7 linked regions of the Cricetulus griseus genome follow. The protein of the gene in region 1 interacts with the protein of each later gene in a pairwise test. Links are inferred from orthologs where the notes say so. Each region holds a gene or a part of one and is shown in the gene's direction. Other genes may lie near its edges. The genes, in order: Mbip, Epb41l3, Rap1gds1, Bfsp2, Ndel1, Ppfia1 and Mcm7.

Region 1 (4,635 bases):
GTCTGAGGTCAACCTGGTCTAGACAGAAGGTTCCAGGACAGTGATGACTACAGGGAGGGAGGGAAGAAGAGAGTGAAGGAGAGAGACAAGGAGGGAGAGAGAGAGGGGAGAGGGAGGAAGGAAGGAGGGAGGGAGGGAAGGAGGGAGGCAGGGAGAGAGGAGGAGAGGGAGGGGAGGCAGGCAGGGAGGGAGGGAGACAGTTCAGTGGTTAAGAATGCAACTGTTCTTGTAGAGGACTGAAGTGTGAGACTCAACACCAATGCCTGGCTAGCTGTTCATATCCCCTGCTTCTAATCTCTTTGGGCACCTACACACACACACACACACACACACACACACACACACACAACTAAAAAAATTGTGAAACTAAAAGCTTGGGTTTCAAAATCAGTTATGACAAAGAAAAGAATGGGCAGTACCTTAATCACTCTCAAAATGTGTAATAAAAGTCCTCTATTGCCTAAAAAATCCAAAGATCATTACTTGGTATAGAACAAGGACTCTTAGATTCCACATTACAATTATCCCCCATTAACAAGTGAATCAGAGACAAAAATGTGCTAACATTACAACAAATTGTGAATTTCTTTTAGTTATAAGGACAAGTGACTGGAATGAGAGGGTTGCTTGATTTGAGTTTCAATCTCTGTCACCAAACAGGTGTTCTACCGGCTTCAGATCTTACTGCTAGCAAGGACACAGACAAGCTTTCTTGCTATGTCTGATGATCCCAGACATCTTTGGAAATAACTGAGTAAAAGGCTCTGTAGAGACAGGTCAAAGGAGTGCTTTCATTTTTACTATCCTTATCCCGGTGTCCCTTGGTTCCTTATTTCTTCCTTCATTCAGCTTCTTCTCAACTCTATAGAATACACTTTAGGTCCATACCTCTACTTCCTGTATACTAGCCCTGGCTGTCCTGCAACATGGTCAGTAGACCAAGCTTATCTCTTAAGCTTGTTTTAAAATTTTAACAGAATTCTACATTATAAAATTATAACTCTTTCGTTATAATAAAGCTATCTAATAATACCCGGCAAGTGTCGATTTAGTTTTCTATCTCAATTTCGACTAATATGAAATTAGTTGGTTTAAAGTTCTATTGGATTTATTTGAAACAATTTTAGGATTGAGTGTCCATTGAGTGTCCACTGAGAAACTGTTGCATTAGAAACTTGACAAACTATTTTACAGTTATAGTCATCAATGTCGTTTCCTGACAAAGGAGGCATAATGTAGGCTTTTCAGTTTTTCTTACATTCTTCGCGTCAAACAACCCTGTAGAGATGAAAATGTTCTATCCAGTTATGATCATCCTGGGTATGAATTTTCCAGTATTCAGACACGTGAGCCCCGTTCCATCGCTGACCCTCAACCTTGTCCCAACTCCAAGTCGCCATGTTAACATTTTAAATTTTAATAGAGGGACTCAATTTCTAACACTTAACAGTAAGGCTCTTCCGGCACTCACGGGGAGCGTCTAAGAGCCAAGGTAGACTTCTAAGCCATAGCCACCCACGCAAAACATCACCAAACAGAGGGTCCGCCTGCGCTACACAGAACCTCCGAGTTCAGACGCCTTGCTCTTGATTGGTCTCGGTGCCTGTCTGTCACATAGAGAGAGTGGGGCCTACCCTCACATCCAAATAAGACGCGGTAGTTTTACGTCATCTCAGCGCGACGGAATCCGCGCGGGAGGGGAGGGGGCGAGCCGTCTTGGCCGCGCTTGGGGGCTGCTGCGAAGGTGTCATGGCTGCTGCTGCGGAGCCCAGTGCCTCAAGCTGCAGCGAGAGGAACCTGGAGCGAAGCTCCAGCCCCCTTCTCACCCGCGAGGTGCTCTGCGAGCTCTTTCGTTCCCTGCACACCCTGACTGGGCAGGTAAGTGAAGGTGCGGCGGGGGTGGGGAGCATCCCGGTCCTCTCTCCGGAGTCCTCCCTCGTCGCGGAGTCCTCCCGCATCGCGTCTGCGGCTAGGATGCCGAGGCCGCGGCCGCCGGGACCGGGAGGAGCGGGAGCCCAGTTGCCTGGGGCCGGGAGCGGCCGGCTGCACACTCGGTGACCACGCGTGAGTACCGAGGGCGAGAGGAAACACGGGTCCTGGCGCCGAACTCTTGCAGAAAATCAATGCATGAGAGATGGCAGGGTTAAGGAGGCTCCTGGAGCTGACTGTGGTTTTTCCTCCCCTGTTTTAATTCGTCGGTTAGTATGGCCTGAAACTTTTCCTACCTCCATCTCCACTCTTTAGGGGGTGATTTACTCTGGGTTTTTATTTGTTTCTCATCATTTATTTGCATCTGTCATACCCTTTGAAACGGTGCGGGGGGCTGTAAGAATTTCTAAAATATAACTAACTTGTAATGTGCCTAGATTTTAGTGTAAATTGTTGGATGATTTGAATGTATGACCAGCTCTACCGTCTTTACTAGTGTCGTGTGACTATTAACTAATCGCTCTTACAGAAATGCCATAGTAAAACTGGATTTTAAAAAGGAGGTTCCTTCACTTTATTAGATAAAGCCATTCATGATATAATGAAGCTTATTTTTAATAAGGAGCAAAAGTATGTTTGCTTGCTTTTAAAAATATTTTATGTCAAACTGTTTCCTAGTTTGATTGGGGGCTGGTCTAGTGCATGTGGTACCTCTGACAATAGGGCATTTACCTGATTTGTGAGAATTATTTTTAAAACCCTTAGATGGATGAATAATTGATCTTGTAAAAAGTTATTTTAGTAAAAATTTTAAAACCTTAGTACGTTTATTTTGCCTGGCAAACTACTTTCATTTGTACATTCAGTTCGGTGTTATGAGGCAGTTAATAGTGGTCTTCTAAAATTAAAACTTTAAAATCAATTGTTTAATGAGCATTAGTAAATTTTTTCCCAAGTCTTAAAGACTTTGTTTAAATTAACATTTCAGTGATAATATTCCAGATCTTTAAATAGTTCAAAAGTCAAAGAACTTTTTGGCATGGATTTGGAACTTAAAGACTTAATCATTAATATTCTAATGTCCAGATGAGAAAAATATTCTCAGCCTTTGTGTTTAGAAGTTGCAAAAATAATGTACATTGATAAATGATTTGAACATCTAAAGTATTCTGCATATTGATTTTTTCAAAGTTATATAAATTTATACCAAAGGTTCAAATGGAAAAAACGATTCAATCTTAACTTATGCCACCTGCCAACAAATGTAACATAGTTAAAGGGACCTTTATACAAGTGTCAATATAAGATTTTTTTTAAATCAATTAAATGCTGTTTTAGTATTATTGTGTATTTTGAGATTATGATTTAAGCCATACACACATGTAAGTTGCCCCTAGGCAACTTGTGTCCTTTTGCAACAAATTAAAAGGATTTTTAAGATGTAAATTGTAATTATTAGTTCATTGTAAATATCATTGAATTATTAGTGCTTTTCAAAAGAAAGTATAAAACTGAATTGTAAAAAGTATTTTTTTCTCCAAATGCAAAATACACTTACATTAACCTTTTTTCTTTCCTCTCATTGGCCCATGTTATCAAGCTAAAGATTTGTTAGCTTGTTTTTTTTTTTTTTTTTTTTTGTATTAGTTTCTACTGAACATTCATAACTGATTAATCTAGTGTATTAATAGAAAAATTTGAATGTCAAGAGCTATGGGGTAAAATGCATAAAGGAATTTGCTGAATGAAAAATTGGATGTATTTGGGGGTCATTTTTGAATTATGACATTATTGTTTGATTTTTCATGGAAGACCAACTATCTTGAGTTGCCTTTGAAGACTTACATAATTCTGCTGAATTGACATAGAATATTATCCAGCCATTAAGATTTCTTTTCTATAGTTATTTTCTTTAAAGAATGTGATGCTTTCCTCAGGTTTAAAGATTACTTGTTTTTTTTATTCTTCAAGCCATTTAAATTTGCCATAGTCAACTGTATGTCTCTTGGAGAACTGTAAACACATGCTGATGGATTGCTTTCATACACATTATTAAATACAGTAATCTTATTAATCTTAATGTCAAATCTTAACTTAGTTGTAAGCTTATCTTTGCCAGTATAGTCTATGTAAAATTTCATATTTCTTTATGTCTGTCAAATAAGGACTTGAAATGGTTCTGGTCTCAGCAGTAAATGTTTGTATCCATTGTACACGAAAGTGCTTACTTTGGGAACTTGGGATTTCTTTGGTTCCGTAGACAGTGATTCACGTTTTGGTTTTTTATTTTTAACAACTCATTAGATTGATAGTTGAATTCATGAAACGTGTATCTTTACTTTGTGGAAAATATGACTAGTTGCCAATAAATTATTCTTGCAAAATACAGTTAACTTCCTTCCACTATGCGGTATGTACTTATACAATGTACTTATACAATAGGTGTCCTTAGAAAAGTTTATAGGGATTCCTTCATACTCAGTCAGTGATTACAGGTGGAGCTTCTCCTCTCCCACTAAAGTTTTGACTGATTTTGATATTAATTTTATATTCAGGTTCTTGGTATTTTCTAGGTGTAATTTTCTAGGTATAATCACCACTAGGTGATGAGAAATTTTCATGTAATGAGACTTATATTTTACTAAAAAAAAATCCTTAGTAAACACACTGGACACAGTTCTGTCAATCTGTTATACTGCTGTAGAA
Region 2 (4,384 bases), on another chromosome or scaffold:
ATGATGGGTGTTCTGTGGAGTCATAGTTGTACAATCGCATATGGTATCCGTGCATATGCCATTTACTTAAGGTCTTACACTAGCCCTTGGCTCTGAATATTTTTTAATCAGGTAATTAGAACTGTGAAAGGGAATGGTAAAAGATGTATTATCTGTGGGATATTTACCATCCCTATGCAAAGCACTTAAAAGTCAAGTCTGCTTGGCATAGCATCTCTCCTACTACACACAGAAAGAATGGGTTTTATTAAAGACACGGAGCATTTCTGCGAGCGAGAGGCAAAAGTGACTGAGGAATTATTATTTGGGTTTGAACATGTTCAGCCTTCTCATATGGCCCCCGTGGAAACTGAGGCACAAAATGCTGGTCTGCTTTAGCACTCTGTTAGAAGGTGGTAGTTTTGGGTGGTATTTTTAGGGTGGGGCAGCCTATTACTCAGGAAGGTCTTTGCTTGAATTTCTTGTGAGATGTGAGACTGAGGTATCCTTCAGTGTTCACAGGCAGGAGGGAGCCAGGAAAGATGTGGGAGGGAGGGGAGATACAAGCTGCCCTTCAATCACAGGACAGATGCTGACGGTGTGACGCTTGCTGCATTTGTATATTTCAGTTCAAAAGGAAATAGCAGAACTGGGTGAAAACCAGTAAGAAAGACATTTGCTATTGCTAGAAAAATCCGTAGATTTGGGGGTGGGAGAGTCCTTGGTGCAGAGTTGAGAAGCCTGTGGGATATCTAATCTTGAAAGTCATCCTTCACAGGTCTTAGAATATACATACTCAGCAAACACATACTCCTCATCCGCTACCCTAATTAGCAATGATTTTAAAATTTCACTTGTGGCCACCATCTATTATGAAGAAACCCTGTTGATTATGACAGATTAATCTCTAGTGTGTGTTTGTCCCACTTAGGGTTTTAATTGCTATGAAACACCATGACCAAAAGCAGGTTGGGGGTGAAAGGGTTTCTTTGGCTTACATTTCCACATCACTGTTCATCACTGAAGGAAGTCAGGACAGGAACTCAAACAAGGCAGGAACCTGGAGGCAGGAGCTGGTGCACAGGGCATGGAGGGGAGCCACTTATTGGCTTGCTCCTCATGGCTTGCTCAGCCTGCTTTCTTACAGAACCCAGGACCAGCAGCCCAGGGATGGCCCCACCCACAATGGGCCATACCCTCCTCCATCAGTCACTAATTCAGAATATACCAATTCAGAATATACCCTTCAGACTTGCCTGTAGCCTAGTGTTATGAAGACATTGTCTTAAGTGAGGTTCCTACTCTCAGATGACCTCACTGTGTTACACGTCTGCTTTGAGCCACTGTGAGCACTGTGAGCACCATTCTCTACACAGCGCCTCTCTGGTGTGCAGTGTAGGACTGTGCTTGGCCGGGGCGCCCCTCTCCCTCCTCCTCCCTTTCATACTAGATCTCCTGGAAGATAATCACAGCTACTGACAGGTCCTTGCCTCTCTTTCTGCTTGCAGAACAATCAACCATGACGACCGAATCAGGATCAGACTCAGAATCCAAGCCAGACCAGGAGGCTGAGCCCCAGGAGGCAGCAGGGCCTCAGGGACAGCCAGGGGCACAGCCTGGACCAGAGCCTGCCAGCGGAAGCAGTGAGGACCCGCCAGCGCTAGAGCAGTTCCCTGCAGCTGCTGCACATAGCACCCCGGTGAAGAGGGAGGTGAGCCTGGAACATCGCTGGGGAGGGTCAGTCAGGGGACCTGGCTGAGCTGTGCTGCTTCCTCCCAGCCCTAAGTGCAACTCTGAAGGTCACCTGCTTTTGCCCTCTCACCCAAAGGGTCAGTGGTGTCACTGTTGAAGGCTTTCAGTCAGGGGCACCCCACAGCCTTGACTGGTACCTCCTGCCTTTGATTAAAGCTGTTAACACTCAGCTGAACTACTGACAGACGATTCTGCCTAGATCTGAGTTTACCATAAGGGCAGACAACAGCTGGCAGCCCCACTATGCCTCTCGCTGTTTTTCCCAGCCATTATTCTGACCCAAGCATGGTCATATACTTTCAGCGACTCTTTATTTGTGGCGGAACTCCTCCCCTGGTATACATTTGTAGGGTCATTGCTGTTCCTTATGCATGTTCGGGGATGTGGGAAGCGATTACTTCTGCCCTTTGTGAGTTGGAACACAGCAGTGGAGCTACCTATTTAGCCTATGGAGGTTTGGTTCCATCCCCACTACTATCAAGAAAATAAAGATCAATAAGTATAAATATGTAGATAAAATCAAAAGAATAAAGTACGATGATGACCAGATGAGCCAGTATAGTCTGGAAACTTCAAACCCTGGTGCTTTAGACGGCTTTCTTGTGCATGATAAAGGGATCTGGAGCCAGAGGAGCGACTGACCTCGTGTTCCAAAGGGTTTGCATAGTCAGAAATTTTAGCACATGTTGAGTGAATGGTTATAAAGTTAGCCTTGGGCAGAAAACTCCATTACAGCACGTTACGACCCTGAACACTTGTTTATGAGGCGGGGTATGTTACTGTGGTCACATGACATTTGCAAGTTCCGGTTTTTAGGTAGCATGAATGGGGCTGGACAGATTCAGAGCACTGGCTGCTCTTGCAGAACACCTGGGTTCGGTTCCCAGAATGCAAGCCGTTGCTCACACCCTCTGGAACAGTTCCAGGGGATGGTAATCCTTTTCCTGACTTCTGCAGGCACCAGGCACCCATGTACTGCATATACATCCATGAAGGCAAAGCACTCATGCACATAAATAAGTGTGTATAATAAATAAATTTAAAGAATGAAGGAAACCATGCAGTCAAGAGACTTGGCAAACCTGCGGTGTGTACTGCAGCTGTCATAACAGCTTACTGTGTTCCGTAGTAAACATTTTTATAAGCGGGAACACCACACTGTAATATGGTTTAAAAAGTGTATTATAGTAAACCCACAAGCCAATAATATAACAATTTATTATGATCAGCTATGATGTGCTATATACATAAGTGTCTCGGCTGTACTTTTGTGTGTCTGATAATACAGACCATCACAGACACCTGAGCTGTGTAGTGTTTTGAATTTCACAATGGCAACTGTATCACGAAGCAGTTGAATTATGTGTTTACACAGATTTTTCTTTATTCTTGAGAATTTCATACATATGTGCAATGAATCATTCACTTCTGGCCCCTAACTTCCCTGCCCAACTTTCCCCGAAGCCCTTCTAACCAATCCAGCCTCATGTCTTAAGAGGCCACCGTCATATATGTGGTCTGTGTGGTGTTACATGGGCCATGACTGTACTTTGTCTTCCATAGTCAAATGTTTGACACCAACAATGGATATGATACTGAATCTGCAGAGGGAAATGTGCCTGGTTGCACAGGACAGACAACTGAGTAAATCCTGTCTCACGGCAACATTGGTCTGCTTTGGAAGACTCTTTCTGGCCTTTGGTCCTCACGTTCACCTTTACAAAATGTTAACAACAACGATTCTCTCTGAAGGTCTTCTATTTGGTCATAGGATGATGATTAAAATGTGGCTGGATTTTAATTTTATGACCTTTTGGGAAGTTTCCTAGCCCCCTGGTCCTGTGGCTCTTCATTTATAACTGAGGTTTGTAGTACCTACACGTCAGAGCAATGAGGAGGATTGCGTGGAGTGGAAGATTTGTGTAAATGGAGCTCTCAATTGGTCTATATAATAAAAAGCCGGAGTCAGAGATAGAGGGAAATGCTGAGAGATCAGAGAGAAGGAGCAAGTCACAGCACACCTCACCTCCTAAGTGTCTCAGCAGAGAAGAGAGCGAGTTCCTGTTTCTCCCTGTTATATCCTGTTTCTGCCCAGCTGCATCACTTCCTGTCTGTCTGTACAGACCTCCAGGCCTCCATGGTTAGCTAGTGGCAAGCTCCATTCTCTGACCCCCAGACAGGCTTTATTTGTGCAAGAAAGAGATCACCACATATTTGCTAAAATGATTGACAGCCATGCATCACATGACTCTAATTGGCAGTTCACCTGAGACACTTGGTCTGCTTTTCCACACGTGGCTTCTAAAAGCCACGGTGGTAGATACCGGTTTCATGTGTTCCAGAAAGATCTGTCCTTGAACGATGGTTGCCTAACGACATCATTTGCAGTTGATGTTTAACTAAGCCAGAAAGTTTGTTTTCATACAGATACTTTTAGTGGTGGGCAAACAGTCTCATCTCTTGCAGTATATAGAAAAACGGTGATTCACAGCAAAATTTAAGTTAAAAGTAGCTTCAGTTGACTTTTCCAGTAACGAGACAATTTAAATATGTTGGGATCATATATAAATTATAATGTATTAATTAAGATATATCATGGCTCATAATTTCAGGATTACTGTACTTCTCCCTAAACTATGTCAAGGCCAGATTA
Region 3 (4,607 bases), on another chromosome or scaffold:
TGCCTAAACCAATGCCAGGTGGGAGGACAAAAAACAGCTGCTTTTCTAATTTCAACTCATATATGCAAATGAAAGCTAGAAGATACCCTGAAATTACTGTGATATATAATTAGCAAAGAAAGTAAGAGAAAAATTAAAACAAGTTGAAATGGAGAATCTGGAAGACATTTGCGAATATTAAGAAGAAACGACAAAGATGCGAAGCAACACAGAGGTTTGGGGTGGTCTTTTGGAAGCGTTTGAAAAGGAGACAAAAAAAAAAAAAGCAGTGGGATGTGGGACATGTATGTTTGTCACAGGGAACTTGGGGGCTTAAGGCCTCACTGTGGCCCTCCACATCAGAATGTGACCTTGTTTAGAAATGAGGTCATTGCAAACACTGAGGGCCATACTACATGACCAGCGTCCTTATAAATAAAGTTGGACTCGTAAGCACACGGGGAGAATATGTGAAAGCTGGAGTTACACAAGGCAAAGAATTACCGGAAGTTAAGACGCGCCCTCAAAAGACGAATATAGCCCTGCCCTGATTTGTCTTCTGTCCTACAGAATTTCAGTAATTTCCTTGTTCGAATCCCGTGTGAAGTGATCATTACAACAGCCCTAGGGAGCTTTTGCAAGATGAATTTTGAGGCAAATATAAGGGTGTTTTTCTTCAAGAAAGGGGTGCTTAACTTCTACATCACTTGATGCTGGAGCGGCTGCAAATTGATCACACCTGTCTTTAATTTTTTTTTTTTTTCTTCAGAAAATCACATAAAATCCCAGGCCCTAACATATCCAAAGGCTCTTTGGAGCTTTGTATGTAATATTAGAGACTGGTCTGGGGGAGTCACAGATGAAGAAACACCCCCTTTTGAGGAAAGAGACCGGGGTTCAGCTATCTTCATCCTAGAGAGTCCAGGTCCTAATAACCACACGGGGGTCGGGACAAGCGCAGGTCTCCCAAGGCCTCCTCTCCATGCAGTGGGAGCCCAGCCGGGGTCCGAGCCTCACGCGCGTGCCTGGTGGCCTGGTGGCGAGGGTGCCCGCGATGGGAGCACCTCGGTCACTGTCCCCGGGCGGCTCATCCTCCACCGGGCTACCCCGGCCCGCAGCTGCACTTGTGATTTTTCTGACTTCACGTCTTTCCTCCCGGCTCGGCTGAGCGCCAGAGCGGCGGACACACCCCGGAGGGCTCGCCCGGCCCGACGGCTGCCCCGTTAAAGGGCTTTCGGCGCGCGCTCGCCCGGGGGGCAGGCCGTGACCTTGCGGCCGCCGTCCCGCTTGACCCACTTTCCCGCTAGCTTTCCTTGCGGGGCGGCCTGACGCGCTCCCTCGGGGGGGGGGGAGGGAACACGGTCCCGCGGGCATCCGCATCCTCCCGCTCCTCCGCCCCGCACGTGCTCGCCTGGGGCGTCCACTGCCCCGTCCTGCACGCTCGCCGCTCGGTGCTCGCACTCTGCCCTGGGGCGTGGCGGGGGTGGGGTGGGGGGGACCGGGGAGTGGGCGGCGGACTGTGTCCCCCCCGCAGCCTGGTGACTTCAGCCTGACCTCCGCCCTTCAGGGGACAGCGGCCAAACTGGCTGCCCGGCTCCGCTCGGCGGACACACGCCCCCCAGCGAGCTCAGGCTCGCTCAGGCTCGCCGGCCGTGGGCAGGAGGCAGAGCCGGCCCCACTGAGCATGCTCGCCGGGGAGGGCGGGGCGCTCGGCCGCGCGTCCGGAGGGCGCTCGCTCGCTCGCTCGCTCGCTGGCTCGCTCTCTGGTTCCCAGCCGCGCGCCGCCAGCCCCGCCCCGCCCCCGCCCCGCCCCCCGCCGCTCGTCCCCGCCGCGGCCGCGCCGCCCCGCAGCCGCTGCAGCCGCTGCTCCTCCCCGGGCCGCCCCCCGCGGGTCCCTCCCTGGCTGCGGGAGACGCGGAGGTAGAGGGAGGACGCCGCCCGCCCGCACCCGAACCCGAACCCGAACCCGAACCCTTCGCCTCGCCCTGCCGGTCCTCGCTCCGTGGGAGGACCATGGGTAAGTCCTCCCCGCCGTCATCGCCTGACATTTTCATTTCCCCCCTCAGCGTGCTGCTTGCTGCAGGGTGCCGGAGCATTTTTTGGTTTTTTTTTTTTTTTTTTGTCTCGTGCAAAGTTGCCGGCTTCCCCCGGTCCTCGGGGTGCCGGGCGGCGGCCCTCCCCGGGGAGCCCGGGCCGGCGGGGTCGCGCGCGGGGTGGGGTCGGAGCCCGCCGGCTCGCCCGGTTCGCCCGGCCCCGCGCCTCCCCTCCCCTCCTCCACGCCGGCTGCCGGGCTCCGGGCGCCGGGCGCGCGGGGCGTCCCCGGGGCTGCGAGGCCGCCGCCGCCCGCTCGGTCCCACCGCCAGCCCGGCCACTCGGCGCAACTTCCTCCCCGGGGGCGCGACCTCTCCCCCAGCCTCGCCGCAGCCGGCGCCGGCGCGGGGCGAGCCGGCAAGTTGTTCGCCAGGGCGAGCAGGGGACTTGCAGCGAGAGGGACAGCGGCGGCGGTGGCGGCGGCGGGGAGGGAGGAGAGGGAGGGGACGGCCGTGGGCCACGCGAGGCCGGCGGGAGCCGCTAGCTGTTGAATTGGTTGGTGTTGGGCGCCCGGGGTGTGCACGGCTGGCTCCGGTGCTCCGGCGGTGGCCGCGGTGGCAGGAAGCTAACACCTCGACCCATTGGACCCCATTTACGGAATTCGCACGCTGCTGCTAATTCCTTTCCCCGCTCCCCCTGCCCAGAGCTGCACAATCTTGAGTCTAGTTCCATTGCTTTTAGTTCATCCCGGGAGATCGCGTGTTTGAAGGCAAATGTTTGATAGAACGGTATCTGTTTGAACCTGAAGTTGCCATCAGATCCCGCTCCCCTGTGTAGAATTCAAAACGGCCCGTCATTAAGAGCGGAAAGTTTCCTTTGTAGTAACAACTCGGCACGCGTCCCCCGTTTGCGTCCACTCTCGTCTGTCTCGATTTCCTCTGTTTAAACTCGGCTGCCTTGGCGTCCCTCTCCACTCGACTCTCCCCACTGCGGTGCAAGTTATCCACGAGTCCTTTCACCTGTCAGTACCGTGCTCCACGCTTGCTAGGGCCAAGGCCCTGGCAATTCTGAATGCTCAAGGAAGTACCTGAATCTAGAAATGATGTGTTAGAGTTTCCCGGAAGAGCAAATGCCTGGAGCTTTGAGTCAGACCTTTGATGCTTCAGTAGGAAGAAAACGTTTGGAAGAGGAGGAGGAGGTATGACCGAAAAAAAAAAAAGACCCTGAATTTTATGTTCACTCGTTTTCTTCTAATTGAATACTACTGATACTTGAAACAAATTTTTGTAAAAACAGGGTCGTCCCATGTATACGTCCCTTTCTCTAGAAATAGCATTTGTAATGAATACTAATCCAGATTACAGATTACAATCTCACTGTTCAAAGGGTTTGAATTACAGGTATAGGTTTAGTGTAGAAAAGAAAGTCACGTGTTTTTTTTTAAGGTGAGATTCAGTTAAAACTCATTTTAACTAAGCACTTAAAATAGTCAATCAGTATCCAAAGGCCATTGCAAACTAGGGAATAAAAATGCCCTAAACAGATTAAGTTATTTAGTAATCTTGCAAATCTTGAATGGTGTTGCTTGGTTAAAATTAAAGATATGAGAAGAAGCCAAATAGAAACACATCTTATTTTGAAGCTTCTCAGAAACTTTTCTGCCCCCTCCTCCTAGCACTTGGGGTACCTTGTTAGAGTTTTCTTTCTTTCTTTCTTTCTTTCTTTCTTTCTTTCTTTCTTGCTTAGCACTTACATAGTCTCTAATGGGGTTATTTATATCTTTTGTACATTTAGTCTTGAATTTAAGAAGATGAATTTTATGTCTTAATTTTTGCATCTCTTCTAGTACTTTTCACATAGTAGGTGCTGAGTAAAATTTCATCAAATTATTCTCAATACTGTCATTTACTTCTTGCTCTTCGACTTGAAAATGTAGGCCCTGAATACATGGATTGGTAGACTCGGAGGTATAGATGACACTGGAGCAGAAAAGTCCAGTTGTAAGGCCTTATCTGAGCCATTGAAGTTATAACAACTCCTAAGGTACACTAGTTAATGGTAGGGAAATTACTTTTTACTCTGTCTTTTAAAGAAATAAATAAGGTATATCTATTTTAAAGATAGTCTGTTTCATTTTTGTGGTCCTGGGGATTGAGCCAGGGCCTTGGACATGTTTGAGTCCCAAGTGGAACCCTTAAAGGATATTTTTATGGCAGTGACATTTCTCCATCAGAAACAAAGGCAGTTTTCTACCTAGCCTTGCAGACAGCTGTTAGTTTATGTGTATATGTTACTATAATCCAAAATTGAAAATCAACCCAATGAAGTGTACTGTGGGGGGAGAAAGATGAGTAAGACAGCCATACTTCAGGTTTCCACAATCTTAGGACCTATCTGATCCACAAATAACTGTATAGTAATTAATGTCTAAGTAGCAGGTGTAATAGCACGTGTCTATAATCCCACCACATTGGGGGAAAGGCTGAGGCAGGAGAGTCAAGCCATGTTTGAAGCCAGCCTGGGCTGCCTAGCTGGATTAAAAAGAAAAGTTATCCTGTCTCAAACAGTAACATAAAATCATTTTTATTTTAACATGA
Region 4 (3,901 bases), on another chromosome or scaffold:
TTTTGTGTAAGGTGAGTGAGGATGTTTTATCAGTTCCTTTAGCAGCCTACAGCTCTGATTCCATGGACCAAGCATCCCTGAGACTGAGCAATGCAGACTCCCAAGCTCCATTCGGGGTCTCCCGCATCACAGCCTCCATTTTCAAATTCCCGGGTGATACTGAAGCCTATTAATGTATTAAAATGAGGTGATCCAAGAAAATCTGAGGGAGGCACCTCCAAGTATCAAAGGTCTTAAGTCAACAGGCTGGCAGAGACAGCTGCATTAACAGGGCTGAAAGCATGTCGTGGGTATACAGCTGCTTCAGACTCTCAGAGGTCACATGATCATGAGCAAATTGCTTAGGCTCCATTTCCTTGTATCAACTGAGGATAATAATGACATGTAATTTCACAAAGTTGTAAAGAGACCGTGAGATAATGGACTTAGAGTTATCCATGGCATAGAATAAGAGCCTAATGCATATTAATTACTCATAGTAATAGCAGTAGCTGTTGTTGTATTCAACACATAGTGGATTTTGCAAACTCATTTCTTGGTAGTTATTACTTTTTTGTGCTAGCGAAGATCAAACCCAAGACTTTGTACATTCTAGGCAAGTGCCTTCCCTTTGAGCTACAGCCCCATTTATATATAAAAACGATAGGGGTGACTCAGCAGGTGGTACTTCTGTCAAACTTTACCCCTCCAAGTCCAATCCCCAGAGCTCACATGGTATAGAGTCTCCCAAAGATTAGTGTTCCTGCTACTGATGGGAGCATCTTGGTGGGGGCTTCTTAGGCAGACAATTAGGTTGGAAGATTCTGTGCATGCCTCTGTAAATGTTCATACATGGCTCCAAATGACCCTTTCAAGAAGGTAGGAATCTGCAGAGAAAACAGAGGCTTCCTCAACCTTTCTGCTTACAGCATTGGCTCAGAGACAACCACATCAGAAGATACTGAAAAAGAAAAAAAAAAAGAAAGAAAGAAAAGAAAAAAGAGGGTGGCCTCATTTTATCATCCACCAGCAGGGGACCTGCTCCCCAGAATGCATTAGGAGGAATCAGAGCCCACCTATCGCCCTCCAGAAAAAGAGGTTCAGAACACAGACTGCCCCCTTATAGTCACAATTGCATCTGTACTGGTTTGTACAACGTAAAGGGGACTGGGGCCAGAGAGATGGCCCAGCAGGTGAAGGCACTTGCCACCAAGCCTGGTGACCTGAGTTCAGTCCCTGGAGCCCACATGGTAGAAGGAAAACTGGCTCCTGTAGAATGTCCTCTGACCATCACATGAGCCATGAAACACATACCCAAATGAGCCACAGCAGGTGTCCACTCACACAAATATGCCCCCCCACATACAAATATATAAAGGGATTTTTTTTTTTAATTTTAAAGGAGAGAAGGACTGTCAGCTGTAGAGATCCAGATAGAAAACTTGTGGCAGGAGAGATGGCTTGGCAGTTAAGAGCACTTGTTGCTCTTGCAGAGGACCCAGGCACATTTCCCAGGTACATGTTGGTTCACAGCCATTGGTAACTCCATTTTCAGGGGATTCAATACTGTCTTCTGACCTCCACGGGCATCAAGCATGCACATGGTACTCATACTTATATGCCAGAAAAACACACATAAAAATAAAATGAATAAATGTAACCCCTTGTGTGAGGACAGTGTGGGGACCTGGTACTGTCTCCCAGTGTTGAAAGAGTTACAAATCTCCAAAGGATAATTTGTGAGTATCCTAAGTTCCGGGCAGGTGTGTCATCTCACCACTTGGAGGCTGAAGCAGGAAGACTGAGAGTTCAGGGGTACATGAGAAGATCCTGTCTTTACCTACATACATAGTTTGTCTAAAGTATGTATCCCTCGGAGATGCCCTCTTGGATGGAAAAATGAAGCATCAAGGGTTATTTTTTGAAATAGGGAAAATCTGGACACAATTGAAGTGTCCACCAATAGGGAATTTCTAAATGAATCATAGTACCTCCAATCAAGGCAATGCTATGTAGCTGCTCGAAGACTACAATCACCCAGCAGAAACCGGTTTCTAACATATAGGAAGTACTGTAGCAAACAAGAGAAGACAGTAACTACTATGTATTTACAAATGCAACTGTGCACTAAAAACGGATGTCATGGTCAATGACAGATTAAATATGCAACATTGGGCCTGTGAGATTTCATTGCCTAGTGATATCACAGCCACCTTCACTTGTGTGGGCACATTTCTGCAATGTTCACATAACAGCAAAAATACCCTTACAGATCTCAGACACGCTCCATGCCATTAATCAGTGCATGAAATATTTCTGAAAGGAGATATAAGAAACTAGAAACAGGAAAACGGTGTGATTAGACCATAGGGAGGAAAGGAGGGAGAGAGAGGAGAGAGTGTGTGCTCAGATCGAACCCAGGTTCACATGCATACTAAGCAAGTATTTACCACTGAGCTAAGCCTTTAGTACATCTTTTGAATGTTATTTTAGTTGTAGGCATCAAAGGTTCAAAACAGTTTTTGGTATATGAATTGGTTAGCAGGTTTATAAAAAGGTGTATGTTTTTAGTGTGGCAGAGAGTCAGTTTAGAAGGGGCCAAGGAGAAAGGGTGGGTTCAGGATTTTAACTCATCCCGCTCACCCTAAGACCTGACTCTTTACAGCAACAGACAGAAGTGGCCCATGTATCTCAGACCCAAGAAGAAAAGCTGGCCGCTGCCCTCAGCGTAGAGTTACACGACGCTTCATGCCAAGTCCAAAGTCTCCAGGCTGAGATGGAATCTTTACGAGCTCTGGTGAGTGTGCCAAAAAAAAAAAAAAAAAAAAAAAAAAAAAAAAAAAAAAAAAAAAAAGGCCTTGACGGTTTTATGTTTAACTCTCAACTGTCAGTCTGAAGTTTCACAGTTCATACTTCACAAAGGGCTTCCTTCTCACAGGGTGTGGTTTGGCGCCTGAAGTGTCTTCTGACCTCTGAGGATTACCAGATACTGACTCAGACCTAACAAGTATGGTGGACACAGCAGGGCCTGTAGAAATACCCCTTGCCTGCCACTGCTGAGAATGCCAGTCGGCCGCTAACACTTGCAGCTGCCCTGTCTCAGCTGCCCCGTTTCTTCAGACAATTGCCATCAGCCAAACAGAGGACTCCTGATCCAAGAAGTCAGGCCATGCCCCTGCCCCAGACAGTGACAGACTGATGTTTTTGAAAGCCCAGCCTGCTAACTTCACAGTGGAAACAGCTGTACAGAGCTCTCCATAGGATCAGGCAGGAGCTAGTTTTCAGAGAGGCTACTTCCTTGCTTAGCATCATCCCTGCCCTGTCTCCTTTGTCCTGATCAATCCCTCTTTTCCTGACAGTAATCCTGCAATTGGGTATAAGCTCCAGGATCCTTGCCTCAACCTCAAACACCTAGTAAGCTCAGACTCACTGTGGTTTGCAAGCAGGTGCTTGGAAACTACTAATTATTAGTAATTAAAATAATTACAGTCAGCCCTCTGTATCCATGGTTTCTCCATCTGTGGATTCAATCAACTTTGGACTGGAAATATTCAGGAAAAACATTGCACCTGCTCTGCATTTGCGCAGCCTTTATTTCTTATCATTGTTCCCTAAACAACAGCCCGGTCATCTATAGAGCTGTACATTGTATCACATAAAAGTCATCTAGAGATACTTCACTGAGATTTAAGGAAATATGCAGGAGGATTGGGTCAGTTATATGTGCATATTATATCACTTTTCTGTAAGAGATTTGCATCTGTCAGTTTAGGTATGCACAGCATCCTGAAACCACCTGACACAAGCTCCTAAGTAGACTGAATTAAGCTCCACCTTTCGGTCTGGGTGGGACTGAACTCTATTGAGATATGACATCTCCTTCAACATTCTAACTACAAAGCATTGTTGGACCCTGTGTGAG
Region 5 (4,412 bases), on another chromosome or scaffold:
TGTCCCAACCCATAAGTGCACTCCTCTCTCTGACCCAGGTTGTGGGCTATCATCTGTTTTACTGCCACTCAAGACTACACTTCCCTTAGCAAGTCCTACAATAAATTGCTCTCTGTGTAATTCTAGAGTCTGACTACCTGTCTGTGGAACCATGTTATATTGGGGCCGGTTCTCATGCAGTAGGCCTGGGCTGGGTTGACCAAAAACAGCTTTAAACAGGGGCAATGTTTCCATCGGATGGACACGATCCACGGATTTGTATAGACTGACTTCCGGTACTTGCTGGCTCCTCCTAGGCACAGAGAGGCGAATATGCACAGCTCCTGCTTTCCTTGGGTAACTTTGGGAAGTAAGACACCCTCATGGGAAAGGACTTTTCAGTGAAGCGGCTTGTTTTGTGTCCTTAACTGCTGATAGGGCATTGTTTGTTTTTCATTAGATGGACATTTATAGGCTAAACATAACCAGCCAGTAACTTGACTATGTTATCAGAGCCCACTCTTATCAGTGGTTCCTGTTCTATTTCGTAAGACTAATTGGCACGGAGTCACTGTGGAGTCAAGTGACGTGGATGGGCCCACGTGATCCGATAAAAGCTTAGAGAATGGACCAGCCTTGGAAAGGCAGAGAAGGGACAATACTGACAGCCCAAGGGACTCACTGGATCTTGGGACTTATATGGTGCCAGTTATACACATTATCCCATTTAAGTCACAACACCAGGCGTCGGTACTGGTATTACCTGCAATTCATGGGAGGGAGGGAGGAACATGAGACTTAGCAATGCAAAGTCTAAGCTACCTGACTTTAAAGATTGTCTCCTCTCCTCTCCTCTCTCTGTGGTTTGCTTTGATTTTCAGTAGTGAGCACAGAACCCAGGGCCCTACACAGGTTAGGCAAGTGGTCTACCATTGAGCCACACCCAGCCCTACCTAATTTGAGCTCTCACATAGTATACTATGTGCTTCACCGGGCTCAGCATTGCACTGGCATAGAGATAAAAGCACTGACAGCCGTTCCTTCAGTTGACTCTCCCCTCCCAAATTCAGGGACAGAGACAAGAAAGTGGGGGAGAAGACAACCAGCTGCTCGCACACATGCAGTAGAGCTGGGGAGCCCTGAAGCTCTGACTGCGAAGCTATGACTGGCATTTTACTCCCTTTCCCAAGCTCTGAGGTCTTGCTCAACTCTAGCTGAGTAACAAGGCTGGCAGGGTTACCTCACTTCTTGACAGCAGGCCCCAGCCTTCCTGGCTCAAACCCACTTCCTGTCCCAGAGTCTCTCTTGTTAGGCATGATTGAGTCTCATTCTTCCTGTTGACTTCTGTTTTGTTCCAGCTGGTCCCCGGGTGGCCCCCACGTGCTGCTGTGAACCAGATCAGCTGAGGACCTGCGACCAGGTGCCTTGTGATGTGACTTTGGGGAGTTGGGGTGAGGGGAAGCGAATGGGTGGGAGCCTGGGCCTACCCCGAGAGAGAGCAGAGTGGAGGCTTCTGGAGTCTGAGGATTCTTTCTGCCCATATGGTGGTCAAAGGCTGAAGTTAGTTTGTAAAGTCATTATGTCCCTAGTGGCAGGTGACACTGGGAGTTTGCTACAGTGAATTTTTCTGAAAGCACAGTATCTTCCATCTTCTGGATTCTGATTACCTTGATTTGGTTTCTGTTTCCTGGGCTGCCTGCTAGCATTTCTTCAGGGGCTGGGCAGCTCTTTGGGTTCAGACAGGTTTACCTGGAGCTGATGAAGACACAATCAGGGTGAGGCTCTGGTGTCATGCTGGACTGAACAAGTGAGGGGCTTGTGTTGAGATATTGTGTACTTCTAAACTGCTTAACTGCTTATGGGATAGTTGCTTCTTTCAATCTGTTTTCTTGTCTACAGATGGCAAAGTATCTTTATTTTGTTTAGATTTGTGTAGAGCTTATAGAAAAATGGTTGTGAAAATGTTTCCTAGATTGTAAGGTTGTATTTTTCAAGGCTTGGGGCTATCTTTATTTCATTTTCTAAAGAAAACTAGACATACTTTTTCATGATAATGTTTTACTTGGTAAATATCAAAACAGTACAGTTCAGTACACTGAAAATCTTTGCATAAGTAAACACCTAAATATGAGCACTTTGACATATAAACTTAAAATTTATCTATTTTTATGTGTATGTCTGTGCGTGGGTATGTGCACACAACTGTGGGTGCCCTTAGAAGCCAGACACCCTGTAACTGGAGTTAAAAGACAGTGTGATCGATCCTCCATGTGGATTCTGGGAACCAAAGCCAGTTCTCTGCAAGATCAGCAAGTGCTCTTAACCATTTAGCCATCTCCAGGTCCCCAGCCCCCATTTGATTCAGGGTCTCAAGTCTATAAAGTCTTGTTTGATCTAGAATTTTCTATGCAGAACAGGTTGGCCTTGAATCTGTCTCGATTTTCCCGCCTCTGACTTCTGAGTGCAAGGTTTCTAGGTGTGCACCGCCGCACCCACTTTCAGCACTCTCACCTGGCTTCAACATACACATTTTGTTTCAGAGACAGATTTTTATGTAGCATAGGCCAGCTGGAACTCACTGTATAGCTGAGGATGACCTTGAACTCCTGTTTTCCTGGCTACACACACCAGAGCTAGGAGTATAGGCATGAGCCATCACACCCAATTGACATACTTTCAGTACAATTTTTAATGTTGAATTCTATTTACTGTCCTGTAACTTCCCTCCTTCTCTCCTTTCCTTTTCTGCTCCTTCCTTCCTTCCTTCCTTCCTTCCTTCCTTCCTTCCTTCTTTCCTTCCTTCCTTCCTTCCTTCCCTCCTTCCTTTCTTAGACACAGCTTCACTGCATAGTCCTGGATGGTCTGGAACTTGCTATGTAGACCAGGCTGATCTCAAACTCACGGATATTCCTCTGTCTCTGTGCTGGGATTAAAGGCATGTGCTACCACATCTGGCCTATGTGGCTATTTTTTAGTTTTCTGTTAATAAAAGGCAAGGGTACAGAAGTCATTTATCAGCTACCCATATTATTGTTTCCATCCTCCCAATAAGATAATTTGTTTACGTTGCTGCTGTACTCTCAACTGTGAGGATGGTGATTGTTAGTATTCAGGAATCCGTACTGGCCTGCCCTTGGGGTCCTGACCAGACACACCCTCAGCTGCAGCTACTAAGAGCACCACCTGTGCATATTCACTATGTTCCCTTAAAAAGGACCCTGTCTATCTCCCATCCTCCTCTCTTTCTCTCTCTCCCTTTCTGCTTCTCTTTGCTTGCTCCCCAGAGGCTGGTTTCCCCACCCCTTTCCCTTTAATGGTCCCTTTCCCTCCATTGAACTCTGTGGCATCTCATCTTTCTCTCTTGGGCTGCCTTTTTTTTTTTTTTTTTTTTTAGTTACAACACAGATAATGGTGATAATGTTCCTTTTTTGTTTTACTTTTTGCTCCTGGAATTGATAGTTGCCTCAGGTTTTTCTTTATTTAGTAATCGTGTGTGTGTGTGTGTGTGTGTGTGTGTGTGTGTACTTTCCAGCTATTGGGCCTGGCCTGTGTGTAGTGTGCTCATATCTGGATGAGGCTGTGTGGTCAGGAGACCCACTGAAGAATTCCCTTCAGCTGCCTCATGCTGCTGCCGCCATCCCTTCCTCGCCAGCATGGACTGTACCCTCCAACTGTGAGGCCCAAGTAAATCCTTTCTTCTTAAAAAAAAAAAAAAAAAAAAAAAAAAAAAAAAGATTCTCTGGCCACCTGCATGGAGGGTGTAAGAGAGGTTGCCAGCATTTTGCGGGGTCACCCAAGGCAGGGGCTGAGACATCATGGCCTTGGAGGTGTCCTTTCTCCCTGAACCTCCTTTTTTGTGGTGAAGTAATCTAACTTCTTCTGGGTCTTCTCACCTTCTGCTGTTGGGCAGGGGTGAGGCAAATGCTTTGGTTTGCCTGCTACCTAGACTGTGAAGTCTGTATCTAAATTGGTGGTTCTCAACCTGTGGGTCATGACCCTTTTGCAGGGGTCGCCTAAGGCCATCAGAACATACAAACATTTATATTATGATTAATCACAGCAAAATTAGAGTCATGAAGTAGTAAGGGAAATAGTTTTATGGTTTGGGGTCATCACAGCATGAGGAACTGTATTAAAGGATCTGGGCATTAGGAAGGTGGAGAACCACTGCTCTAAATGCCCTGTAAATGCACTACCTCCAATACATCTTCCTGTTTTCCCATTCCTCTTGCGTTCTGAAGCAGCTAGAAACCCTAACTCAGGAGCCTTTCTGGAGTTCAGAGGCATGGCACAACTTGCTCTGGTTGGCATCTAGCTTTCAGCTTCCTGACTGTTGCTGGCTTTCACTCCTTCACACACTTTCAGGCTTGCAGCATCATGTGTGGACATATCCTTTTGGCTTTTTTTTTTGGGGGGTGTATTTTGTTTTGTTT
Region 6 (3,141 bases), on another chromosome or scaffold:
TAAAGGTTTTTTTTGTTTTTTTGTTTTGAGAAAGGCTCTTGTCTTACTATATAGCTAAAGGTGACCTTGAACTTGCAGCATTGTGTCTTCGAAGAACTGGGGTTGCAAGTGTACCCAATATGCCTGGCTTCCTGTTGATTTTGATGTCTCATAAATGGTTGTCAAGTCATAAAACTGGATGAAGCCCAGAAGCAGTGTCTGTGTCTTGTATTCTGGGAATCACTGGTCATTCTGTCCCAACCCAGAGCCTCTGTGTTTTGGGGAAAGATGTGTCTGAGAATTATGTTGTTCAAAACTGTTATTTCTTCCCTCTCAAACCCCACGACATCACATGTAAGGATTATTGTTGTTGGGCCTTGAACAGAACTCTAGTTTGATAAAGAGAGCAGAAGCTGTCTCTGAAGAGGTTTTGTTGCCTGGGTCCTAGTCTGGACATCCCATTTGTGAGGTGGCTGTTTGTTTGTTTGTTTGTTTTTAATTTGAATTACAAACAAGATTGAATTACATGACAATCCCAGTTCCCTTCTCCCTCCCTTCCTCCTCTACCACTCCCCCAACTAAAATCCTACCTGTCATATGTCCTTTCTTCTAATCTACACCTGACTCAAAATTTCTGCTTCCTCATGACCTCTGCATCCTTCTTTTTCTTCCCTTCTCACTTTTGTAGCTTCCTCCCCCCTCTTCCCGTATTCTTAATTTGCTCAGGGGATGGTGACCCTTTCCCCTTCTCCAGGGGACAAAGTTTGTCTCCTCCACTTCTATTCTAGGACATGTGTGAGGTGGTTTTTGAATGACCAGTGAGGCATGAAAAGGGCCACAGCCCAGGACTGGCCTCAGTTCTCCATCTGTGGCCAGAGGAGTGTCTCCACAGTCCTTTTCTGCTGCAGAGCTGGACTAGGCAGGCAGTTGTGCTGTCAACAGGAAGGTTAGCTACATACAAGCCAGAGTCCAGCAACATCTGAAGAGCACAGACCTGGCTGGGTGCCCACTTTTACTGTCAGTTGGCACTTGTCTCCTTGGTTTGCCAGGATGATGATAAAAGCTTCAGGAGAGCACCTTCATGGAGAAAGAAGTTCAGACCAAAGGACATCCGAGGCCTGGCCTCTGGCTCTGCAGAGACATTGCCTGCCAACTTCCGGGTCACCTCCTCTATGTCATCTCCCTCTATGCAGCCAAAGAAGGTTCAAATGGATGGTATGTGGTGGGTCCTACAACCACCACGTGTGGGAAGTGTGCACACTGGCTGCACCTGGGGCGTTGGAGTGAGGCTGCATGCTCAGGTGTATTTGTTGTTCAGTTAACCCCCTAACGTTGTTTCCTCAAGATTAACCAAAGTAACAGAAACTAAGAAAATCCTGTCTGTTTGGGGGACGGGGTAGAACCCATACTGTGAGATCAGACCTGACAGGCAGCACAGGTGCACTTGCTGTATGTCACTTTGCCAAAGCCCTGACCACAGAGCCTGCTCCTGAGACAGGGTCTTACTGTAGTAACCTAGGGCATCTTCAGATTCACAGTAAACCTCCTGCCTCAGCTTCTCTAATGCTGGAGGAATTATAGACATAAGCCACAACACCTGGCCCAAGTAAATTGTAAATAGTGCAGTTTCCATCTTTTTCTGCTATTTGTTAGCCACACATGCCCCTGTTATAGGACAGGGGAAATGGTCTGGAACTAGTTGGGTCTATTAAATGTTCCAGTCAGAAATGGCAGACACAGCTGACACAGTGGACCCAAAGCTTCTGGGAGGTAACAAAAGTCAGATGAGGTTTGCCTAGGACCTTGCTGCTAGAGGACACATGACCTTGAGCAGGCTTGTTCTTGAGCAAGTCCTCAGGCTGTGCCATGCATTCCTGAGGAAGTTTTGATAATCAATAATTGTATACTTGAAGCAGCCAAACCTGAGCCCTGTCAGTCAGGGTGCACCTCCTTGCTGGTGCAGGTGGTGGGTTAGCTGCTGGTCTGCTGGGATTCTTGCTCTCACTGCACAAACCAGAGACAGGGACATGAGCAAAGCTTTGCTGGGCTGGACTCCTAGAAAGCACATAAGGTAGAAAGCTCTGGCTGGTTTGGCCATGGTTCAGTATTGTGCTTACAGGGGAAGGTCCAGTCAGCAACTTCATGAGAGCCAGTATGCCAGCCTGGCTCTGGCTAAATGGGCGCATACAGGCTTTCCTTGTTCTGAACCATACTTCTTAGTCAAGCACTAATGCTTTAAGAATGGGAGCTTAGAGAAAAGGCAGCCTGGAAAGAGCTGTAGGAGTCTAGGGTGTGGACGTGGCTTTCTCTCCTCTCACATGGCCACCAGCTGTGCTGAGGTCTTCTTTTGAGGAGGGAAGGTGAGATAGATGCAGTGTACATGGCAAGCATTTCCCCTTAAGTCAGCTGTCCCAGTGGCTCTGAGGATGTGGCTATGAGAACTTAGCCTCCTCTCTGTACACAGGCCCATCTTAAGCCGTGCTGGCAATTTGTTAAATAATAATCATCAGTTCAGCAGTTTCCATGGTTTCTAATGGAAACTGAGTCTGAATATTGGTTTCCTAAGAGAAGCCACTGTCTTGGTCATCCTGCTCTTTCATGGAGCCGTCTGCCTTAGGAGTTTCTTGGGGCTGGGGTACATATACCTCTGGCTTCTTGGAGGTGCAATATTCTGGCAAAAGACTCGTGGTGTAGTCTCAAGAGAAACATGGTGGTTTCTTTCATAGTTGTCACTCATGTACATGGATGACTGATGTTGTGTTTGTGTTGCTTGCCCATTGCTGTTTCTGAGTTAGCTGCCAGTTCCTGGGCCCTGAAAAGTAGCCTCCTGACCACCACCTTGGTGATCTTGACTGGCCCCTTCCCACAGCAGGCTATCCTCCTATCACTTGGGAAGTCTTGTCAGGTGTGTAATATCTTTTTTGTCCCCTTGTGTGATGTTTAACACTAACTGCATGATGTGTTTGCACGCTTCCTTCCATGGCTGTGGAAACAGGTAGTGTGTCCGGAGCACAGAGGCTGGACTCTGCCACAGTCAGGACTTACTCCTGCTAGAGCCTCCTGCTGGTGAGTAGAGAGCTGCTGTTCCCAGATGTCCCCAGTACAGCGCAGGTGGGGCACTTCATGTCCACCTGGCTTTGGCAACTTTGGACCATGAGAGCC
Region 7 (2,921 bases), on another chromosome or scaffold:
TCTGCTGTGCTATGGCAAAGAGGTAGGGCTAAGATGGGGGGTCCTCAAGGTATATAGCTCTTAGTTTCGCCTGTGTTCTCTCTAGGTTGGCCCAGCACATCACCTATGTCCACCAGCACAGCCGGCAGCCCCCTGCCCAGTTTGAACCTTTGGACATGAAGCTTATGAGGTAGGGGTAGGGAGTGAACCCAGGTCTCAACTTTGTAGCCTAGCCATACAAGGCAGAGGGCATCATCAGAAGTTTTTTTTCTAGTTTGGGATGATAGAGCAGCAGGCTCTAATCCTAGCTACTGTGGAAACAGGAGATCTTTAGAGGTCTGTTGGGAATGTTGCCATAATTACCCCCTTCCCCATACATAGAAGAACCTTCCTTCCTCACCATCATCCTGACCTAGCGGTGAGGCAGGTACATCTTGATCATGTGTGGTACTGTGGCATAGATATCTCAGTGATCTTCAAGTCTCTAAATTGGTTTCACCTGGTCTTCCCTTTGTGACAAGTTCAGAGGGGTTAGGTCATCCCAGTGCAGGTGTAGTGCAAATTAATTTTCCTGAAAAGTTGCAAATTACTTGAGCACTGGCAGCCCTGTTTTGGAGGAGTCCCTCAGTGATGCCCAAGCAAGTAGCTGTCCACTTCCTGCATAGAATATTAAGTAGGGAATCTATAAAGCACGCCTGTGTTCTGCTTTCCCACAAGCCTTGTTTCCCACAGACGGTACATAGCCATGTGCCGAGAGAGGCAGCCTACCGTGCCTGAATCTCTGGCTGACTACATCACAGCAGCATATGTAGAGATGAGGCGAGAGGCCCGGGCCAGTAAGGATGCCACCTATACTTCTGCCCGGACCCTACTGGCCATTCTTCGACTTTCTACTGCTCTGGTGAGTGCTGTGTCCTGTCAGCTGGAAGGCTGACCCTTGCCTGCCACCTCACCTTAATGGCCCTCAGGCTGCCTCTTCCTCCCTCCCACTAGCCCTGCTGGGGCTAAAGTGCTGACAGTGCAGATAGTGGTCCTCTCTGTGCTACCGCACTGTGGGTACTTGCTGCTCCAGCAGGGCACATACAACACCCATGGAGGGAAAGGCTGCTTGCTACTTAAATCCAAGAGGGGCAGATGGACTTGTTGAATTCCTGATGTCCTAGATATATGGTCTTAGATATCTCCATTCTGTCCTTCCCTCTTGGACCTTAGTCATGGGGGCTCCAAAGTGCTGTTCGTGCAGGTAGTGTAATTACCTGACCTACTGCTGAGCTAGCACTTCCCGAGCCCCCAGGACACAACCTCTCTGACAATGACCCTAGCTGAGCTCCCCAGGCCCCATTTGTCATGATGGGGAACCTAGTGGAGTTCAGAAGGGTCTGGTCTCCCTCACAGGACAGCTGAACACCTACCGGGACTGGCCAGTGTTGAGAGGCGGAGACTTGGGCAATTGCTGGAAGCTGCCCTGGGCATTGCACTTGTCTCGGTCTGACAGTGCCGGCCCAACACTGCAGATTGGGGGAGGGGGCAGGGAGGAGTCCCCATTTTTTTAAGTGGGCAAACATGGCTTGCCACCCTTGAAGCTGGAGCAGTGAAGACCTTTGACTTCATCCCCTTTCTCCCCTCCTATCCCCATCTTTTTCTTGCCTTCCCCCTTAGGCTCGCCTCCGTATGGTGGACATTGTGGAAAAAGAAGATGTAAATGAAGCCATAAGGTTGATGGAGATGTCAAAGGACTCACTTCTAGGTGAAAAGGGACAAACAGCTAGGTGAGTGTCTTAATGAAGATGAAATTGGGGCACTTGACTTTATTGAGCTGGTCATAAGTTTTGTGGCTTCTGCACCCAAACATACAAGTTTGACCTCAGGATTTTGATTCTGATTGCTATTCTGTTTGCTTAGCCCTGCACACTGACATTTTCCATCTATGTGTTTCAGGACCCAGAGGCCAGCAGATGTGATATTTGCCACAGTTCGTGAATTGGTCTCAGGGGGACGAAGTGTCCGGTTTTCTGAGGCTGAGCAGCGCTGCATATCACGTGGTTTCACACCAGCCCAATTCCAGGCAGCTCTGGATGAATATGAGGAGCTAAATGTCTGGCAGGTCAATACTTCTCGGACACGCATCACTTTTGTCTGATGACCAGCTTTGAGGTTCACCCTTTGTCTGACGACCAGCTTTTAAGGCCCTGCTGCGCACCCCATAGCATTTGCTGGATGCCCCAAAGGAACAGATCGAATTTTCCCATACTGCACTTTTTTGTTTGTTAATAAAATGTTTTGACTTTGGGCCTGGCTTCTGTTAAGATAGCATTTTTTGGGGAATGGGCAAACACTACTAATTCCAATGTAAGTTTCTATTCTACCTTGCCACATTTAAGAGCTAGGGTGTGGCAAGGACTTAATAGAGCCTTCTCCCCTGGTATGTATGAAGCACTGAGCCTTACTGTGTGCTAATCAATACAGTGCCAGGATCAGGGCCTAGGGCCCACTTTTTTTTTGAGACAGGGTTTCTCTGTGTAGTTTTGGAGCCTGTCCTGGTACTCGCTCTGGATACCAGGCTGGCCCCAAACTCATAGAGATCTGCCTGCCTCTGCCTCCCGAGTGCTGGGATTAAAGGCATGCACCACCAATGCCCAGCTCCCACTCATTTCTTGAAATATTTCCATTGTAGACATTCTTTTTAATTCCCACCTCTTGAGAGGGTGGTGAAATAGGAGATGGAGGATGGCACAAGAAATGACTTCAGTGGAAGTTTCACAGATGGGCTGAAGTAGAGACTCAAAGAAATTGTTCCTCTTGGTACTTTTCACTTCCATGGGACCAAGGGTTTACGTTATCCATAATTACAAGATAGGCTCTTTATCCCTCCCGTTCAGAGACTGGAAAAGCAGTCATTTGTCATTTCTGTGGGTTGGCCTATGTAAATTGCTACCACAGAA

The links.
Region 2: the proteins of Mbip (region 1) and Epb41l3 interact in a two-hybrid assay, tested with the Homo sapiens proteins (2 studies listed by BioGRID). The two-hybrid records come from large-scale screens. The link is inferred for Cricetulus griseus from reciprocal best matches to the Homo sapiens genes MBIP and EPB41L3.
Region 3: the proteins of Mbip (region 1) and Rap1gds1 interact in binary tests that used the Homo sapiens proteins (3 or more experiments, as listed by UniProt). The two-hybrid records come from large-scale screens. The link is inferred for Cricetulus griseus from reciprocal best matches to the Homo sapiens genes MBIP and RAP1GDS1.
Region 4: the proteins of Mbip (region 1) and Bfsp2 interact in binary tests that used the Homo sapiens proteins (3 or more experiments, as listed by UniProt). The two-hybrid records come from large-scale screens. The link is inferred for Cricetulus griseus from reciprocal best matches to the Homo sapiens genes MBIP and BFSP2.
Region 5: the proteins of Mbip (region 1) and Ndel1 interact in binary tests that used the Homo sapiens proteins (3 or more experiments, as listed by UniProt). The two-hybrid records come from large-scale screens. The link is inferred for Cricetulus griseus from reciprocal best matches to the Homo sapiens genes MBIP and NDEL1.
Region 6: the proteins of Mbip (region 1) and Ppfia1 interact in binary tests that used the Homo sapiens proteins (3 or more experiments, as listed by UniProt). The two-hybrid records come from large-scale screens. The link is inferred for Cricetulus griseus from reciprocal best matches to the Homo sapiens genes MBIP and PPFIA1.
Region 7: the proteins of Mbip (region 1) and Mcm7 interact in binary tests that used the Homo sapiens proteins (3 or more experiments, as listed by UniProt). The two-hybrid records come from large-scale screens. The link is inferred for Cricetulus griseus from reciprocal best matches to the Homo sapiens genes MBIP and MCM7.

Annotation. Positions count from the first base shown.
Region 1 is NC_048598.1:146,084,582-146,089,216, forward strand, and holds the start of Mbip (MAP3K12-binding inhibitory protein 1), read left to right. Parts: upstream 1-1,686; 5' UTR 1,687-1,749; coding exon 1,750-1,878; intron 1,879-4,635. UniProt on the Homo sapiens protein: Inhibits the MAP3K12 activity to induce the activation of the JNK/SAPK pathway. Component of the ATAC complex, a complex with histone acetyltransferase activity on histones H3 and H4.
Region 2 is NC_048595.1:457,934,363-457,938,746, forward strand, and holds the start of Epb41l3 (band 4.1-like protein 3), read left to right. Parts: upstream 1-1,498; coding exon 1,499-1,690; intron 1,691-4,384. UniProt on the Homo sapiens protein: Tumor suppressor that inhibits cell proliferation and promotes apoptosis. Modulates the activity of protein arginine N-methyltransferases, including PRMT3 and PRMT5.
Region 3 is NW_023276806.1:20,491,101-20,495,707, forward strand, and holds the start of Rap1gds1 (rap1 GTPase-GDP dissociation stimulator 1), read left to right. Parts: upstream 1-1,790; 5' UTR 1,791-1,992; coding exon 1,993-1,996; intron 1,997-4,607. UniProt on the Homo sapiens protein: Acts as a GEF (guanine nucleotide exchange factor) for the Rho family of small GTP-binding proteins (G proteins) that stimulates the dissociation of GDP to enable subsequent binding of GTP.
Region 4 is NC_048597.1:211,682,770-211,686,670, reverse strand, and holds part of Bfsp2 (phakinin), read left to right. Parts: intron 1-2,644; coding exon 2,645-2,776; intron 2,777-3,901.
Region 5 is NC_048600.1:82,758,664-82,763,075, reverse strand, and holds the start of Ndel1 (nuclear distribution protein nudE-like 1), read left to right. Parts: upstream 1-1,268; 5' UTR 1,269-1,399; intron 1,400-4,412. UniProt on the Homo sapiens protein: Required for organization of the cellular microtubule array and microtubule anchoring at the centrosome. May regulate microtubule organization at least in part by targeting the microtubule severing protein KATNA1 to the centrosome.
Region 6 is NC_048596.1:56,882,894-56,886,034, forward strand, and holds part of Ppfia1 (liprin-alpha-1), read left to right. Parts: intron 1-1,028; coding exon 1,029-1,194; intron 1,195-2,974; coding exon 2,975-3,033; 3' UTR 3,034-3,045; intron 3,046-3,141. UniProt on the Homo sapiens protein: May regulate the disassembly of focal adhesions. May localize receptor-like tyrosine phosphatases type 2A at specific sites on the plasma membrane, possibly regulating their interaction with the extracellular environment and their association with substrates.
Region 7 is NC_048597.1:116,885,446-116,888,366, forward strand, and holds the end of Mcm7 (DNA replication licensing factor MCM7), read left to right. Parts: intron 1-85; coding exon 86-169; intron 170-711; coding exon 712-880; intron 881-974; exon of another isoform or gene 975-1,055; intron 1,056-1,193; exon of another isoform or gene 1,194-1,274; intron 1,275-1,391; exon of another isoform or gene 1,392-1,490; intron 1,491-1,638; coding exon 1,639-1,748; intron 1,749-1,917; coding exon 1,918-2,119; 3' UTR 2,120-2,269; downstream 2,270-2,921. UniProt on the Homo sapiens protein: Acts as a component of the MCM2-7 complex (MCM complex) which is the replicative helicase essential for 'once per cell cycle' DNA replication initiation and elongation in eukaryotic cells.